Kluyveromyces lactis: one gene and its partners. The protein of the gene in region 4 interacts with the protein of the main gene of each other region in a biochemical or structural test. Links are inferred from orthologs where the notes say so. Each region holds a gene or a part of one and is shown on either strand. Other genes may lie near its edges.

Evidence for each region.
Region 1: the proteins of CYC8 (region 4) and MIG1 form a complex in vitro, tested with the Saccharomyces cerevisiae proteins (2 studies listed by BioGRID). The link is inferred for Kluyveromyces lactis from reciprocal best matches to the Saccharomyces cerevisiae genes CYC8 and MIG1.
Region 2: the proteins of CYC8 (region 4) and RFX1 form a complex in vitro, tested with the Saccharomyces cerevisiae proteins (2 studies listed by BioGRID). The link is inferred for Kluyveromyces lactis from reciprocal best matches to the Saccharomyces cerevisiae genes CYC8 and RFX1.
Region 3: the proteins of CYC8 (region 4) and GAL80 form a complex in vitro, tested with the Saccharomyces cerevisiae proteins (2 studies listed by BioGRID). The link is inferred for Kluyveromyces lactis from reciprocal best matches to the Saccharomyces cerevisiae genes CYC8 and GAL80.

What each region holds. Positions count from the first base shown.
Region 1 is NC_006041.1:965,244-968,757, reverse strand, and holds MIG1 (transcription factor MIG1), read right to left. Parts: upstream 1,954-3,514; coding exon 529-1,953; downstream 1-528. Other genes in the region: U6 snRNP complex subunit PRP24, read right to left, coding at 1-84. UniProt on the Saccharomyces cerevisiae protein: Involved in glucose repression of the SUC, GAL and MAL genes as well as of the CAT8 gene. Binds to two sites in the upstream region of SUC2.
Region 2 is NC_006040.1:414,497-419,027, forward strand, and holds RFX1 (Rfx1p), read right to left. Parts: upstream 2,836-4,531; coding exon 376-2,835; downstream 1-375.
Region 3 is NC_006037.1:726,902-730,566, reverse strand, and holds GAL80 (transcription regulator GAL80), read left to right. Parts: upstream 1-1,777; coding exon 1,778-3,151; downstream 3,152-3,665. Other genes in the region: SUR7 (Sur7p), read left to right, coding at 255-1,127; AIM32 (Aim32p), read left to right, coding at 3,582-3,665. UniProt on the Saccharomyces cerevisiae protein: This protein is a negative regulator for the gene expression of the lactose/galactose metabolic genes. It binds to GAL4 and so blocks transcriptional activation by it, in the absence of an inducing sugar.
Region 4 is NC_006038.1:812,577-817,102, forward strand, and holds the start of CYC8 (transcription regulator CYC8), read left to right. Parts: upstream 1-1,726; coding exon 1,727-4,526. UniProt on the Saccharomyces cerevisiae protein: Acts as a component of the CYC8-TUP1 corepressor complex which is involved in the repression of many genes in a wide variety of physiological processes including heme-regulated and catabolite repressed genes.

The DNA of each region.
Region 1 (3,514 bases), on a different chromosome or scaffold from region 4:
ATTCTTAACTTTTTTCAAGGTAGCAGCCTCCTCTACAGAGACATTTTCGTCTTCTGGGCGTCTCTTATTGTTTTCTGCATTCATAAGTGTACCACGTGCGATTAGGTCAGTTCATAAAATCAACTGGTTCGACCTGCTACTAAGGTTGCATCAGCTCCTATCACGCAACCTTTAAATTGATTGATACTATTGCAGTTTAAAGCCTTTAAAAACTTTGAATATCAAACATATCACGTGATATCTTCATGGAAAGATGTTTTTCCTCAGACGAGCATGACAACCAGTATCCTGAACACAGAATATCTTCGGTGATCGCAAGCTTCAGGTTCTCTGAAAACTTTACAAAGTCTATTTTGGATGGTTATTGTCAATAGAATGCTAAGATGAAATGATATATAATTGATGGACAAGAGCTAGTAAAATTCTATATTCATTATGCGTGAAAGTTTTATATCTTGAGTTAATATAATACATTGATCGATGAAGAGACGGTGCGCTTACATTTCTGTCCATTTTCATTAGTAGTCATTATTTTGGTGGTAAAAGGTCTAAGCTTCGAAGTGATGGCAACTGCACTGGCTTATTCTGATTCAAACTGGGTAACAATCCTTCCGGTGGAGGACTGTGCGTTGGAGTGCACAGTAAACTTGAAAAATGACTTTGGAAATAGTAATCTTTTTCGTCCTTACTGTTCCTTACCGGCAGTTGATCCATCGATCTAAGCCTTGAATGAAGTTCATCATAAAATTCTCCTTCTGTAGCTGAGCCGGAACTTGGTGGCATTGTAGAACTAGGTCTCATGATGGGCATTATGGCTTTTGATTTCTTAAGTGGCCGGCCATATGCATCTTCTGTACTCATATCCTCATCTTGTGAGATTACGGTTTCTTGCTTCAGTAGAGTAGATATGCTTACAGTACTTGAATTTCTTGAATGTTGATCTATCAGTTGGTTGAGACTATTGGATGACGAGAATCTGGAGTTAAGTGCAGAGGAGCTGAAGCCCGATGGTGATTGCTGTTCCGACAGATTTGTCCACGATCTGGTTCTAGGCAGACCGTTACTTATATACTCGTTATCAACAAACTCGGTCAATGGTCGGTTGGGTGCGGGATGGTGAAGATGTACTAGATTCTGTTGCGAATGATTATATGACTCTGAATTTTGAGACAAGGGTGTCATTCTTTGTAATGATGATAAAGCAGAAAGCTTAGCACGTGAAGCTGGTCTTGGTAACAATAGTCCGCTACTGCTGTTGTTGATTGAATGAGATGTAAACGAAAGTGACGGAGAGGATGAAGATGAAGTCAACGGTAGTTTATCAATAAATTTGAAAGAGGATGAGGCTTTGTCAGACTCAAATTTTGCAGCATTCAGCAGAAGGTCTATGTTACCACTATTATTCTGAGATCTAATAGGTGGGACACTATATATACCGCATTCATCCGATTCATCGCTACCGAGATCAAACATTGGCTTCGACCTCAACGATTTCAGAGGTTCAGTAAATGTTGAACCATCTTGTTTAATCGAATTAGTGGATTTCAGAAGTTTGTGGTTTGGTTCTATGACATTAGCGCTCGTTCCACCAGCAGAATCAACAGCCGCAGAGTCGTTTGCGTTTCGTTGTTTTTGCCGCTGCAATTCTAATTCCTTTTCACGAGCTATCGTCTCACTCTTCTTTTTCCTTCCTCTTTTCCCCTTTGGTTTATCACTGTCATGTATCCTTCTATGTCTTGTTAGTTCATCGCTTCTACTAAAGCGTTTTGAACATCCCGGGAAATCACATGCATGCGGTCTTTCCCCAGTGTGTGTTCTGATGTGCCTAGTCTGATGTTCCAGTCGATGGAATCCCCTTTGACATATGGGACAGACGTAAGGCCTTGGTCCATCCTTGTCATGATCATTGATAGACTTCTTATGATTTTTTTTCTCTATAATCGCCTCTGTCATTGGTGCTATAAGTTCCAGATTCCTTTCGTATCAGTCACCAAATAACAAGACCAAAAACCAAAATAATATGGAAGCTTGCCTTGAAGTATTACAGCAGAAAGACCCGTGATATGGTCAAACAAACGGAAGTATAAGCTGAAATGATAGGTTTGTAAAACTCCAGCAGATCACTTGATGAATCCAGTATCGTGTCTTTTTATTTTGTGTGTTTTTGGGAATGCAATATCTTCAACCTTACAAACTTGGCTTGAAAACGTCGTACTGACTTCCCCGTTTAAACTAAGATAGTCTCACACAATATTTACAATATCGATGAACCCAATATCAGAAATGTTTTGCTGAATTTCTTTTTTACCTCCGAGAATCTTCAGAAAAAGGCAGATTAGACTGGAGAGGATTACGTAGATTTCAGGATAAAATAACTGATTCTTGAAGCCACAAAATTGCTTCGTTTCACAAAGGAAGTCCAAATAATACGACTATCGATGAACACCGCTATGGTTGACGTGTGAAGTTTAACAAAATCTCAGAAAGTGACAAGAATACCTCAAACCATATATATTAGTTTTTTTTTAACCACAAAAAACCGAATCTGTTAGGCAATGCTAAGACGAATCACTTGTCAACCCCGGACGCTTTTTTTTTTCCAGTATAATGCTAGCATTTTACTGGGACGGAGAAAGAAACAGGAGAAAAACATAATGTGGGCTGTTCACAGAGTGCTACTGAGACAATGAGACCTCAATAGATGCTGTACTTCTTCATTTCCAGTTTTAGCCTATATCCTTGTACAGATTCCTCCGTAGGGACGACAGAAAACAAATATATCCTCGGGAAAAAAAAGCCAAAAACTAAAAAAAAAACAATTTGTACGGGGTATTTACTGCACCACGGAAAAACCTGAATATTTCGCTCATTAAAAAACGTAAAAGAGAAGTTGCAAACGTGGAAGGTTCCTGGCTAACCTGGGTGTTAACAGGTTATACATCTTTGCTCTGTTTGAAGCTTTCCCCCCTCTACCCACTTTAATAAAGTAGTCCCGAATACCACAGCAATCTCTTTAGCTTGACTTGCTTTGCTCCATCTAGGGAAAACTTTCTCCTGCGTCATTTCATGTTCGAGGGGAATTTCGGAAGAGACTCTCCCGAGATTAAAAATTTTTCCGTCAAAGTAAATAAAACGTGAGAAAAGCGGGAAAAGTGTTTATCCGGATTGATTTCACGGAGAAACTACAGGATGCACTTTTTTCCCCAATCCATTTTTTCTACCCAAAGCTCGCTAAGATCTAGGGGAATCTAACCGTCTAGCAAATGATCGCCATGGCTAGTATATACACATTCTTACTCATGGTAAAAGGGTTAAGAATGACACGCATGATACCGACTGAACGATGTTCATTATCGGAGATTTTACATGCCTCGTCATTTTCCTTCCATATTGTTAGGAAAACAGACAAATGAATGAAAATGGAAAAAGTGTTGTTAAAGCCATAACCAGAGAGGGAAAAAAAAAATAACCGCCGTCCTTTTTATATTAAAATGAAATGGCGGCTATCGATACA
Region 2 (4,531 bases), on a different chromosome or scaffold from region 4:
AATGAATTGACAGGTCCAAAAACAATAGTACAATTAATGATCATGAAAAGGAAAAGAGCAGAACGACAATTACCACGTAAATGCAAGAATGGGTATGGTAATAGATACAAAATTAATGGGAAGATTAGGAATGGTTCAATTAGATGGGAAAACAAGTCCAATTTTCGTTTTTTTATTCGTTTCTGAATAGAATAATAGATTAAAGGAATAGAAACGATAACGAATGGTAATAAAGGCAGGTAAATCGAATTTAAACAAGAAAAACAAAAACAAAACAACGAATAGGAGATGGAGTAGGTTTAAAGAGTAATATTCTTAGTGGGAAAGGTAACTTTAGCGTAGAAAAACAATCTATCAAAATTAAAGTTCAGAGGTTCAATCTTTGAGGAATCCTCCAACTTCGGCATACCAAAAGATCCATTCATCTAGAAAGGCCTTGAACATCCACCACAATCCAAAATTTTCGTTTGAGTTCGTTAATATTTCTTTCGTACAAGCAGCGGTGAAAGAATTGAAAGTCAATACTAGTAATCTAGGAGGTAGACTCTTGTTTGAAAGCACTCCGAAAACCATTTTAACGAAAGAGATTAGATCAAAATCCTCATCCGTTTTCTTAAGAAGTTCCAATAACTGCACTGAAAAGAGTTCTTGCATATCTTTTTCTAAAGCAGGGTGGTTGAAGTAAGAAAACTCTTGGTTTATTAGTTCGGACACTTTAACGTTCTGTTCCCAGACGTATAACATTGATAATCTATTCTCTTGCTTACTCATGATATTTGATAATTTCTTGCTGTTGTCAATCACTTTCACGAGCCTTTTCACAAGACGGCAAAACGCCTGTGCCACACTCTTTTTGAAGGTTACCATCGGTAATGGTAAATCCATGGTAGATTGCTCAACCATCTTCATATACTCATTTGAAAAGTCTGACAATTTGTTGAACACAACCTCTGGAATTTCGTTGAAGTCAACAATCAAACTCGAAAGCATCTTGGTCAGAGCCTTGTGAGTAAGTAGGTCTGATTGATGAACCCATCTGTACAATTCTTCAGAAATAAACAAGTTGTACATTTTTGATGATATTGAACTCGATGAAAATGATTGCAATGTTAATGGAAGATCATCAAACTTCATGAACCGTATATTTTCAAACAAAGTATTACAATAAACTTGGTATAGGGAGTTAACACTGGAAGCAATATCAGGATCAACTGACTGATTTACCGGTAAAAACTTTTGCAAGTCTGGAAATTCAATAGGTAGTTCCACTTTGGCTTCTGATGTTACTGCGAAGAAATCTGGTAGTAAAGCGTATCCTTCATCATAACACGTATTAAAACTTGTTTCAGCCGATAATACCGGTTTAACACCAGCATCATGTCCTTGAATATTTCCTGTCACGTCCAATGAAATATCTTCGGATAACTGGTTTAATGGATCACTTACCGAAGATTGTTTCCCCAACATGGCATTTGGCTGTATGGATTTTATTCCATTGCTATGATCGGATTGTGAGTCTATAGAATGCTGAGAATCACCCTCATACTTCAAAGATATTGAATTTTCATTATTTGAATGACTTGAAGTTGTCCCACTGGTAGACAACATTGCACTTGACGTGTCACTATTCGACGACCCTGTCGGTGTTAAATCTGAAGAAGTAGCGAAAGGAGAAACAAGCTTGAGTCCACAGTAATGGTACTTTGATTGTCCTCTCATACCCAATCTTCTTGTTTTCAAGAATGGGAACAAGGCTCTGATCAATTTACCAAGAGTGGCCTGAGATAAGGGTTTCAACTGGTTTTGAGCACAAGACGCCGCGTATTGGGCAAAAATCCTACCGCGGCGGACGTAAGATTCAGTGTCTGTCACACAGTTGCTCATTAGCCATATTAAGGCATACACTTGCCTCTCGCGTTCTCTGTGCTGTTCTGCCGATTGAATTTCAGATTTGGCATGCGTAGAGGTATCCATGTTGAGTACTTGGATTTCAGCATTTCTAACTACAGAAGCATATTCGCTCAAGGGCTTATCTTTGTTCTTCATTGCTACTAATTTTAAGATATTCTCCTGGGTTGTTCTTTTCGAAGTCACAGCAGCACCCGTCCGTACAGGCTGCATAGCTTCGTCAACTTTCTGTTTTTTCCAGCGTTGGTCTTGGTCTTGTAAAATGAACTGTTGCTGTTGCTGCTGTTGTTGATGTTGATGTTGTTGATGTTGATGTTGTTGATGTTGATGTTGTTGATGTTGTTGATGTTGTTGATGTTGTTGATGTTGTTGATGTTGTTGATGTTGTTGATGTTGTTGATGTTGTTGATGTTGCTGATGCTGCTGCTGCTGCTGCTGTAGATGCATATCTTGCATATGTTGATAATGCAGGACTTGGTTCGGAAGTGCAGAAACAACTCCGTTAGGTGATATTACTGACAGAGGAGTGATTGATCTCATCATATTTTGTTGCTGGTGCTGCTGGTGCTGTTGTTGGTGACCTTGAGAAGTTTGAGGACTTGACTGCCCACCTGCTAATTGGTGATCGTTGATGGGAGGTAGTGGATTAGGTAAGAAACCCTGAGTGAATTGCATATTTGAGGAAGTAGAGCCATTACCATTATTGACAGTAGTACCATTGTGTAAATGTGCCATAGCGGCTGGAGGAGGAGGGTATAACGAATGTTGCAGTATATGTTGTAATTGGGCGGTCGAATTAGATGAGGAAAGATTTATGTTTGATTGGGAAGATTCTGGTCTTGGAATCATAGGGGAATTAGCTGAAGCTGAAGCTAATTGCAATAGAGTATTATGGTGATTAACCCACTGGTCCTGTTGAGACGACATCGAACCCTCAATTGTAATCTCAATTTTAGTTTTGATTCTTACTCACACTCCGCACTGAGATGATGTATATTCTATCGTCACTCTTTAGGTAAGTAATACTTTATTTTTTTGATTCTCAATATGTACACAGTAAGGAATGACTTCCAACAAAATGATGGATGATGTACAATGAACTGAAGGTCAAAAACCCTACTTTAGCTGATTCAACAGTATCGTGAGAGCTAGAACTAAGACAGAATGAAGGAATTACACCCAGAAGCAATCGAAGTGATCAAATGAATGTTTTAGTGATTCTTTTTTTCTTATGAGCACTTGACAAGAGCAGGAATGAAAAATTGAACTCTAGAGTCGCTGAAGAGGTATGCACTGTGTATAATTTTGCAATAAATATATCAATTCCAAACTGATAGTTCCGATACTCACACACAACCCAAGAATGAGGAATGTTGCCAAAGAAAGATTAGATGTACCACTGATTGTCAACTCAAAAAAGAAAACACACACAACTCTCTTTCAAAAAAAAAACGAAAGAACTAAAAACACAACAGACAGGACCTACAATCCGCCTTGGAACGATACAACACTCAAAAAACTGGATATCCGAAACTAGAGTCCTACAAACCTTACTCGTTTCCAATCACTTAGATCTGACTCAATCAGATACGGCTCAGTGTGTATTAATTATATGGTTGTATAATTTTTCAGTTTCTCGAGGATTCAATACTTTCACTATTAAATATGAAAGAAAAAAAAAAGGAATTTCGAAGCTCAAAGCATTCAAAGAGTCAGATTACAATTAAGAATCAAGAAAGTCGACTTTTGGGTTCAGCGCGGGTCCTGCAATGTTCATTCTGATAACCACTACTCGATTTTCATGCCGGTTTTTTTATCGTACTTGTCGTTTTGATAGAAAAGAAAAACATAAGACACTCGAAGTGATTTTTATTCCTTCGAGCGTGGACTTAGTCAGCCCGTAGTGGAAGTACATTTCCTACTGTTCACGCTGTAGCTCAACAAACGGCACAGTGTATTTACTATCTTCCTAGAATCACGTGAGCGAAGGGAAAAATATAACTTAAGAGTAGCATAATTCCAGTGCTGTCAGCGGTATCGCTCAGTGATTTGGAATTTAAATCGAGGAAAACGTCCTACAATTTAGGGACAGGCATGCGTTCACGGTTAAATCGTTCGAAATTTTTTCCGTCGTTCGAGCCGCCCCACTGGGATCTCTGTTGTAAGAAAAGACCGCCGATTTATGATAAAGGGCGGACTTTGCTCTGAGGTTCCTTCTCTGCCTTTTCAGCATTCTTCCTCTCGAGGGACCTTTTCCCATTTCTTTTTTTTCTTACTTGTTCTGTGTTGAGAACTTGAACCACAGTTGATCTCACGGTTGTTTCGAAACAGAGAGCGGCATAGATGGTACAAAGAATGGAGCCACGGCTGGTTTCGAAGGAAACACTGCTGTGGGCACACATTTCGAGACTCCTAAAGCCACCTCGAAAGCCAGTGTCAAAAGCCAAGATATAACGATTTCATGAGCTGATACGGAAAACTTTACTGCCGGTTAGAAGTGCTAGTTCCTGCAGCAGGTAGATAGGGGAAACTGCTTGAAAATTCGTCTCTGTATATACGATTCACATATAGACAGTCACAATTTGACTATTTGACTATTTAACTTGCTTCCCATTCTTTGGGT
Region 3 (3,665 bases), on a different chromosome or scaffold from region 4:
AAAGGAAAACAAATAAAAAGGGAACCAGTTTGGTACAGAGTGAGTATTAGAGGAGAAAAAACAGAAACAAAGTCGAAGTTTCCCTCTCTTTTCCCGCTGCATTGCTCTTGCGTTAGTGGGTCTAAATTCTATTTATATTGGATATATACCACATATCTTAGCCCATAAAGCTGTATCCAGGAGTTTATTACCTTCCATAAGCTTTTTGTTTCTTAATATACCAAAGCACATTCAGCAAGCACGCACCACCCAATATGAGCGCAGTAGGGTCTATATTGACGAAATTCGTTTCGCTTTTATTTTTAATGGGTTCAACCATGTTGTTGATATTCATCGTTTTATCCGGTAGTATCGAACATAGTCCAGTTAATGAGTTTTACTGGTTACAAGCAGACACTTCGAACATTACCGGTGCTCCAGCGCTGTCCAGATGGACTTTCTGGGGTCTCTGTGGTGTCTCAGGTAACAAGAACGTCAACTGTTCTTCTTTGGAACCAGCTTATCCGTTATCACCAGTTGATGATTTCGGTACTACAGAGGGATTCCCCTCCGATTTCGTTAACAACAGAGACACCTACTATTATTTGACCAGGTTCTCATTCTGTTTCTTTTTGATTGCTTTAGTTTTCATCGGTGTCGGATTAATCTTTTACGTCTTGTCCTGGTGTTCTTACAGTTTCACCAAGACGGTGTTTGTGACCATTGTTATCGGTACTCTATTGAACATGGCTGCCAGTGCGTGTCAAACGGCTGCTACGGTGTTGGCCAAAAACGCTTTCAAAGACGCCGATGTCTCTGTGGATATCGGTGTGAAATTGATGGCGTTCTCTTGGACTACGGTAGCGTTGAACATTATGCTTTTCTTCATTACCGGTGCCTCTTTCATCAGAAAGGCTTACAAGGCTCATAAGGAATTTGTCGAATTGCAAAATTACAAGGAACAAGCGTTGAGTTACGAGCAACAACAACAGCAGTTGCAATTCCAACAGCAGCAGCAACAACAAGATTTGGAAGCTACCGGTGCTGGTACTGCCATCGATGAGCCCCAGCCACAAGAATCTCACCAGACCGGTATCAAGTTCTTCAAGATTAGAAGAACTCAAAAATCTGATGAAGAATCGATTTGAGAGGTGATAGGTGATTAGCGGGGGGAGATGAAAAGTGTTACAACGTTTGTCTCGCACCCTGTAACCTTATACTATTGAACAAACCAACTAAAACAAAAAAAAAAACTACTATCAACAAAACTTCGAGCTTTAACCCAAGTTATCAATTGTTTAAAATGACTCTAAATTTCTAATACCCTTATTCTTTCTATTCTTCTTCTTCTTTTTAACTATATCTACTTATATTCTATTAAATATCACATTTACGTTTGTATTACATGACTACTCTTGTCAACCAGGACGTTAGTGGTCCATAACCTCAGGTTCAGCCGGCTCATAGTCTTCCGAATCGTACATTATTCATCGCTCGGACCTCTCCATTCCGTTATTTTATCCACTCTTTGTTCCTCTCAATTCAAGAATTATTCACTTTAACCACTTCAACGAAATCAAATAAAACTCCGTCGAATCAGTACAGTCAGGAATCACCACCCTGGACACTCCCTTCCATTGTGTTTGTGTTTGTGTTTGTACTTTCATTCATTGTCCCTTTTTGACAATATAAAGGTTAAACAGAGAGCTATAGTATATCTTGGGACAATTGTGATTTAGTCACTTTGAAAGTGTTATTATTTGATCCAGTGTACACAATATCTCGGCAGGACGGCATCATGAACAATAACAAACGGTCCAAATTATCCACGGTGCCATCGAGTAGACCGATCCGTGTTGGTTTCGTTGGGTTAACCAGTGGTAAAAGTTGGGTTGCCAAGACGCATTTCTTAGCCATACAGCAGCTCAGTTCACAGTTCCAGATAGTGGCCTTGTACAACCCTACTTTGAAATCGAGTCTTCAGACCATTGAACAGTTGCAATTGAAACATGCTACAGGGTTTGATTCGTTGGAATCTTTTGCTCAGTATAAAGATATCGATATGATCGTTGTTAGTGTAAAAGTGCCAGAGCATTACGAGGTGGTCAAGAATATATTGGAACATTCGTCCCAGAACCTGAATCTAAGGTATTTGTACGTGGAATGGGCTCTTGCTGCAAGCGTACAACAGGCAGAAGAGTTGTATTCGATATCTCAGCAGCGTGCCAATTTACAAACGATCATATGTCTCCAAGGACGTAAATCGCCATACATCGTTCGGGCCAAAGAGTTAATCAGCGAAGGTTGTATCGGAGACATCAATTCCATCGAGATATCGGGCAACGGTGGTTGGTATGGGTATGAACGTCCAATGAGATCGCCGGAGTATTTGTACGACATCGAGAGCGGTGTGAATTTGATATCGAATTCGTTCGGACACACGATCGATGTATTACAGTACATCACAGGGTCGTATTTCCAAAAGATCAATGCGATGATCTCAAACAATATCCCAACTCAGTTCCTATTGGATGAGAATGGGAAACGGACCAAGGAAACAATTTCAAAGACGTGCCCAGACCATCTTTTATTCCAGGGAATATTGGAAAATGGGAAGGTACCCGTATCTTGCAGCTTTAAAGGTGGTACTCCAGTGAAGAAATTGACCAAGAACCTGGTAATAGATATACACGGTACTAAAGGTGACTTGAAGATCGAGGGTGATGCAGGTTTTGTGGAGATATCGAACCTTGTGCTCTATTTCTACGGTATCAAGAATGGGAACGGTAGCAGCAATGGAACTGACAACAATGGAGCTGCTGCCATAAAAGACAAGGAAAAAGTAACTAAATCACCTTCTCCAAGTACAGGTACTTCGGAAGAGGAACAAACCATGGAAGTGTTTCATCTAAGGAACTATAATAGCGTTGTTGGAAACATACTACGAATCTACGAATCCATTGCCGATTACCATTTCCTTGGGAAACCTGAGTCCAAATCATCACGCGGTCCCGATGACTTGTTCGCAAGCACGAAATTTGATAAGCAAGGGTTCAGATTCGAAGGATTCCCCACATTCAAAGATGCCATCATATTGCACCGGCTAATAGATGCGGTGTTCAGAAGCGACAAAGAGGAAAAGACTCTTGACGTGTCGAAAATAATGATATAAATAAACTTCAAATCTATGTATCCATACCATCCTACGTATTTATGATCTTAATGTTGCCATGTCCTCTCTTTCACAACAACTAGGATCTTGTTATCATCAACATTTGCTGATTTTAATTAAAGACTTGTTGCGCATTTAAATCTTTAAATCGGGAATCCGTTATGGCTTGCTTACGTACGAAACGGCTTCGCAAATAAGGAAATTGAAGGAAAAGAGCACATCTAAACTTCGAAGAAAAGCTCATCCATATCCAGTTCCTGACAGCTTCCACAGCAACCTTCCCATGAAAACTCAAACCAGCATCAACTTCGAGGTCTCTTGTCATATATAATAGACCTTCCATTCTTTATATTCAAATTCAATTGAATTACATTTAAGGCGAACGAATCGAAGAACCAAAAAAGGTCAACAACCAAAGGCTCAGAGTGCTATGAACTTGTACTCATATTCAAGAATAATAAAATTCCCTGGGCATAATGCATTGGTGTTGAAACGTCTTTTCCATAGGCCGTAC
Region 4 (4,526 bases):
TCATCTTATTTTCAACTCAGAGATCAGTGCAAGTTCCCTTGTTTGATGCGTGTATTCTTATAATTTGCTGATGCTAATCAGTATCTCCAAGCTTGCAACAATGTATTAAGGTTAGCCTTTGTAGTATTTCGGGCTTCAGCAAACGCTTTTTTCATCAGAAATGAATCAGGATCCATCATCATAGGTAAATGTTTAGCCATGTAGAAAATCACATCAATACCTTTTCTTTTTCGAGGAAAATGCAGTCGTTTCTTTTTAATCAAGATCAGAGTTGTTCCGGGCGGAGAAACTTGCCAAGGTGACGTACGTACCTCAATATTTCTTTCGGAGAAACAACAAGATCAGAATGATCACGTGACCAATTGACCAAAAGATGTGGCTCATTCATAGGAATAAAAACCGTACGCTCTACACTGTACACTACCACGCGTCTTCGCTCACTCCATGGTATACAAGGGTGTTGCTGTCATACCGTCTCGGCTGTTATGCGAAGGTAACGAAATATTTTTTTTTTTTCTTTCGAAAAAAACGTCGACTCAAGCCATCATCACAAACTCGTCCCAGAAGCAACGTACGACTCGCATATTTGCTGAATCTGGCAAATCGCATACCGTAATATCATTAGAATTAGCCCCAAGGCAATTCTTAAGCACTCGAGGGAAAAAAAAAAGATAGAAACGAACATTCACACACAGAAACTTACAGCTGAGAGAAAGAAAGGAAACAGTAGAAAAAAAGAAAAAGCAATGATGAAGTAAGCCTGATTAACATGGTGGTGCGAGCGCCAATGCTTTGCATACTTTACCTGCCTCTGTTCCACTGAAAATCCAACAGAGAAGTGTTTGCAGCAGATAACACGAACACAGACATCAGTTTTTTTTTCCCCGGTCAGGGTGAATTCATCGCCTCCCTCCACTTCGTATTATCACCCCTCGAGTTTTTGATTCGTAATAGAAGAAGGCAAGAATCCTGTGATATTTTATCGTTTCTTCCATGATGCAGGTTGTCAGAGAGAAGATTCTATATGCCAGGAGATAAAATAAAGAGCTACTCCACAGACCTACCTGTACAAGTAGACTCAATGGAGACGTTCATACACAAGAGTAATTAGATATAGGGTAGACATAGTACTAAATAGATACAGCATCTTGACATAAAACTGACGGTTTGCCAAAATGTCGACATTACTGAGAGATTCCGCTAAAAACGCCCGCAGATTCCGTTGAAAAAAAAAAAAAAAAAATTAAAAATAACAAATAAACGTTTGCATTGGTTTTGAAGAAACAGAAAAAAAAAAATTGAAATAAATAAATGTTTAGAATTCTACTAACACGATACTTAAGTTTGATTGTCAACATCTTTGTTGTTTTTTTTGGAGAGAAGGACACAAATAGGTAACGAAGATCTGCGAGAATTATTGGTTCTGTATTTTGATAGTAGGTTATAAACCTGGAACGATTGATCGTACTTTAGCTCAGTGATAATAGCGAGAGCCAGGTTATTTTTTAAGTGTGACGTAAAGGGTTTGTATTTTGGTCTACTAAAAGCAAGAAATATTCAGACTTATAGCCTGGGAAATAGCACGAATACACTCTCACACGCTTGTACTATACTATTTTTCTACTTATAATTTTTTTTCTTTGTGTGCAAAATATAAACAGATTGGATATCCAGGTTTGGATTGTATCGAATAGGTAGGAAACGAAACAGAATTGGCGTTTGATATATGCTGAACGCAATTTCAGGTCCAGCAATGGCAGTCTCGTTACAACAACAGCAACAGCAACAACAACAACAGCAACAGCAGCAACAGCAACATGGATTATTGGGACACCAACATCAGCAGGGCATGTTGCAAGGGTTACCACATACCATGAATGGTGCGGTTGCTGCTTCTCAATTAGCAATGCAACAACCAGGCCAAGCGTCAGAATATGGCAATGAACAGGTACCAGGACAAAGTCAGTTGCCGATAGAGGTACGTCCTCAGGATTTGTTGCCGGTTAAACAGCCTTTGAAGCCTCTAGATCCGTTGTCTCAGTCCACAGCAGAGACCTGGCTGTCCATTGCATCTCTGGCAGAGACTTTGGGCGATGCTGATCTGGCTGCAATGGCATATGATGCGACTTTACAACATAACCCATCGTCGACAAACGCATTGACATCGTTAGCTCATCTATATAGGTCTCGTGATATGTTCCAAAGAGCTGCAGAGCTTTACCAAAGAGCTCTTTCTGCGAACCCAGAGCTGGGCGATATATGGGCTACTCTTGGCCATTGTTATCTAATGCTTGATGAATTACAAAACGCATATGCAGCTTATCAACAAGCCCTTTATCATCTATCAAACCCAAACATACCGAAACTATGGCATGGAATAGGTATTCTATACGACCGTTATGGATCTTTGGATTACGCAGAGGAAGCATTTGCCAAGGTTTTGGAACTTGACCCACAATTCGAAAAGGCAAATGAAATTTATTTCAGGTTGGGTATCATTTACAAACATCAGGGGAAATGGAATCAAGCCTTGGAATGCTTCCGTTATATCCTGCCTCAACCTCCTGCTCCGTTACAAGAATGGGATGTCTGGTTCCAATTGGGTAGTGTTTTAGAGTCAATGGGTGAATGGCAGGGAGCTAGGGACGCGTATGAACATATCATATCACAGAACGACCGCCATGCAAAAGTCTTACAACAGCTCGGTTGCCTATACGGTATGAATAATGTATCATTTTATGACCCACAGAAGGCTCTAAATTTACTTCTCAAATCTTTGGAAATCGATTCTACTGATGCTACTTCGTGGTACCATTTGGGTAGAATTCATATGATCAGAAATGATTACACCTCTGCATATGATGCCTTCCAACAAGCCGTTAACCGCGACTCAAGAAACCCAACATTCTGGTGTTCCATAGGTGTATTATACTACCAGATTGCTCAATATCGTGACGCCCTAGACGCTTACACCAGAGCAATCAGATTGAATCCTTATATCAGTGAAGTGTGGTACGATTTAGGTACTCTATATGAAACTTGCAACAATCAGGTCAATGATGCATTGGATGCATACAAACAGGCTGCAAGGTTGGACCCTAACAACGTTCATATTAGGGAAAGGTTAGACGCCCTCACTGCTCAAATAATGAATCAACACCAATCGGGCGAACAGCAACAACAGCAACAACAGCAACAGCAACAACAGCAACAACAGCAACAACAGCAACAGCAACAGCAACAGCAACAGCAGCAACAACAGAAGATTGAATACAATCAGCAGCCTGCTCTTCCTTTACCATCTCAATTACAGCAACCCCAACAACCAAACCAACAGCCACAACAACCAGTGATGTTACAACCAATGCTGCAAAACAACACACAAATGTTCAATCCTCTGAATGACAAGCAACAAAATGGCCAGGAGCAACAATATGCTGTCCAACAGTTCCAACAACAGCAACCTATTCAGCACACTAATATGCCACCGGTTCTTCAAAGAGTTGATCAGCAGCATCCACAAGTTGTGCAGCTACTGCATCAACAGCAACAACAAGACCACGAACATCCACAACAATATCAGCAATCCCTGCAAACTCAACAACAACTACCACCACCACAAACCCAGCAGGTGCAACAAGGACAGCAAGGACAGCAAGGGCAGCAAGGACAGCAAGGATACCAAAATGGACAGGAACAATCGCTTCAAAATACCACACAAGCCTCCCAGGTCACACAAGCTCAACAAATCCCTCCGCCACCCCAAGTGCAACAAACCATTCCTCAAAAGAGACCTTTGGAGGGGGGAATGGATACATTGTTCAACGCTATCTCACAACAAGAGCAGGAGCAACAGAAGCAAAAGGAGGCGGAACAGCAGCAAACGACAGCACCACAAGTCACGACACCCCAAGTTACGAACACCGTACATAGTACACCTTCCGAGCCAAAAGTCGAACCTAATGATAACAACCTTGGCATCGTCAACGATACAAACAGCACCATTGCACCAGCTACGCAAAATGCTGACACAACTACCATCGTACCAGCAGAAGGAAAGCAAGAGTCTGTACAAGTTACTGAGGCTGAGGGACAGCAACCACAAGAATCTCAGGCACCTGCTGGTGAACCTGAAGCACCAACCTCAGAAGCTAACGTTGTTGAAAACACAAGTGCCACCGAGAATCATAATGGAGCAGAACCTGCAGTAGCTAAACCTGAGATAACGGAGCAACACGCCATTGACACTCCTGCTGCAAATAACCTACTCAAAGATGGCTTCTCTGACAGTCAACAAAAGATTAATGGAGCCCAGAATAAAGATGCCTCCTCTGAAACTGTCGTTGAGCCTGTTACGAAGAAACAAAAACTGGATACGGAAGAAACCGTAATCAAGCCAAGTGCTGATGCAATTGAAAGCATAAAGGAGCAGGAGAAGATTCGCCAAGAGGAGGAGAATGAAACTCTGGAAAAAGTCGAAAAGAGTGCGGAATCCATTCCAAAGGAAAAAGTTGTGAGACAAGTCG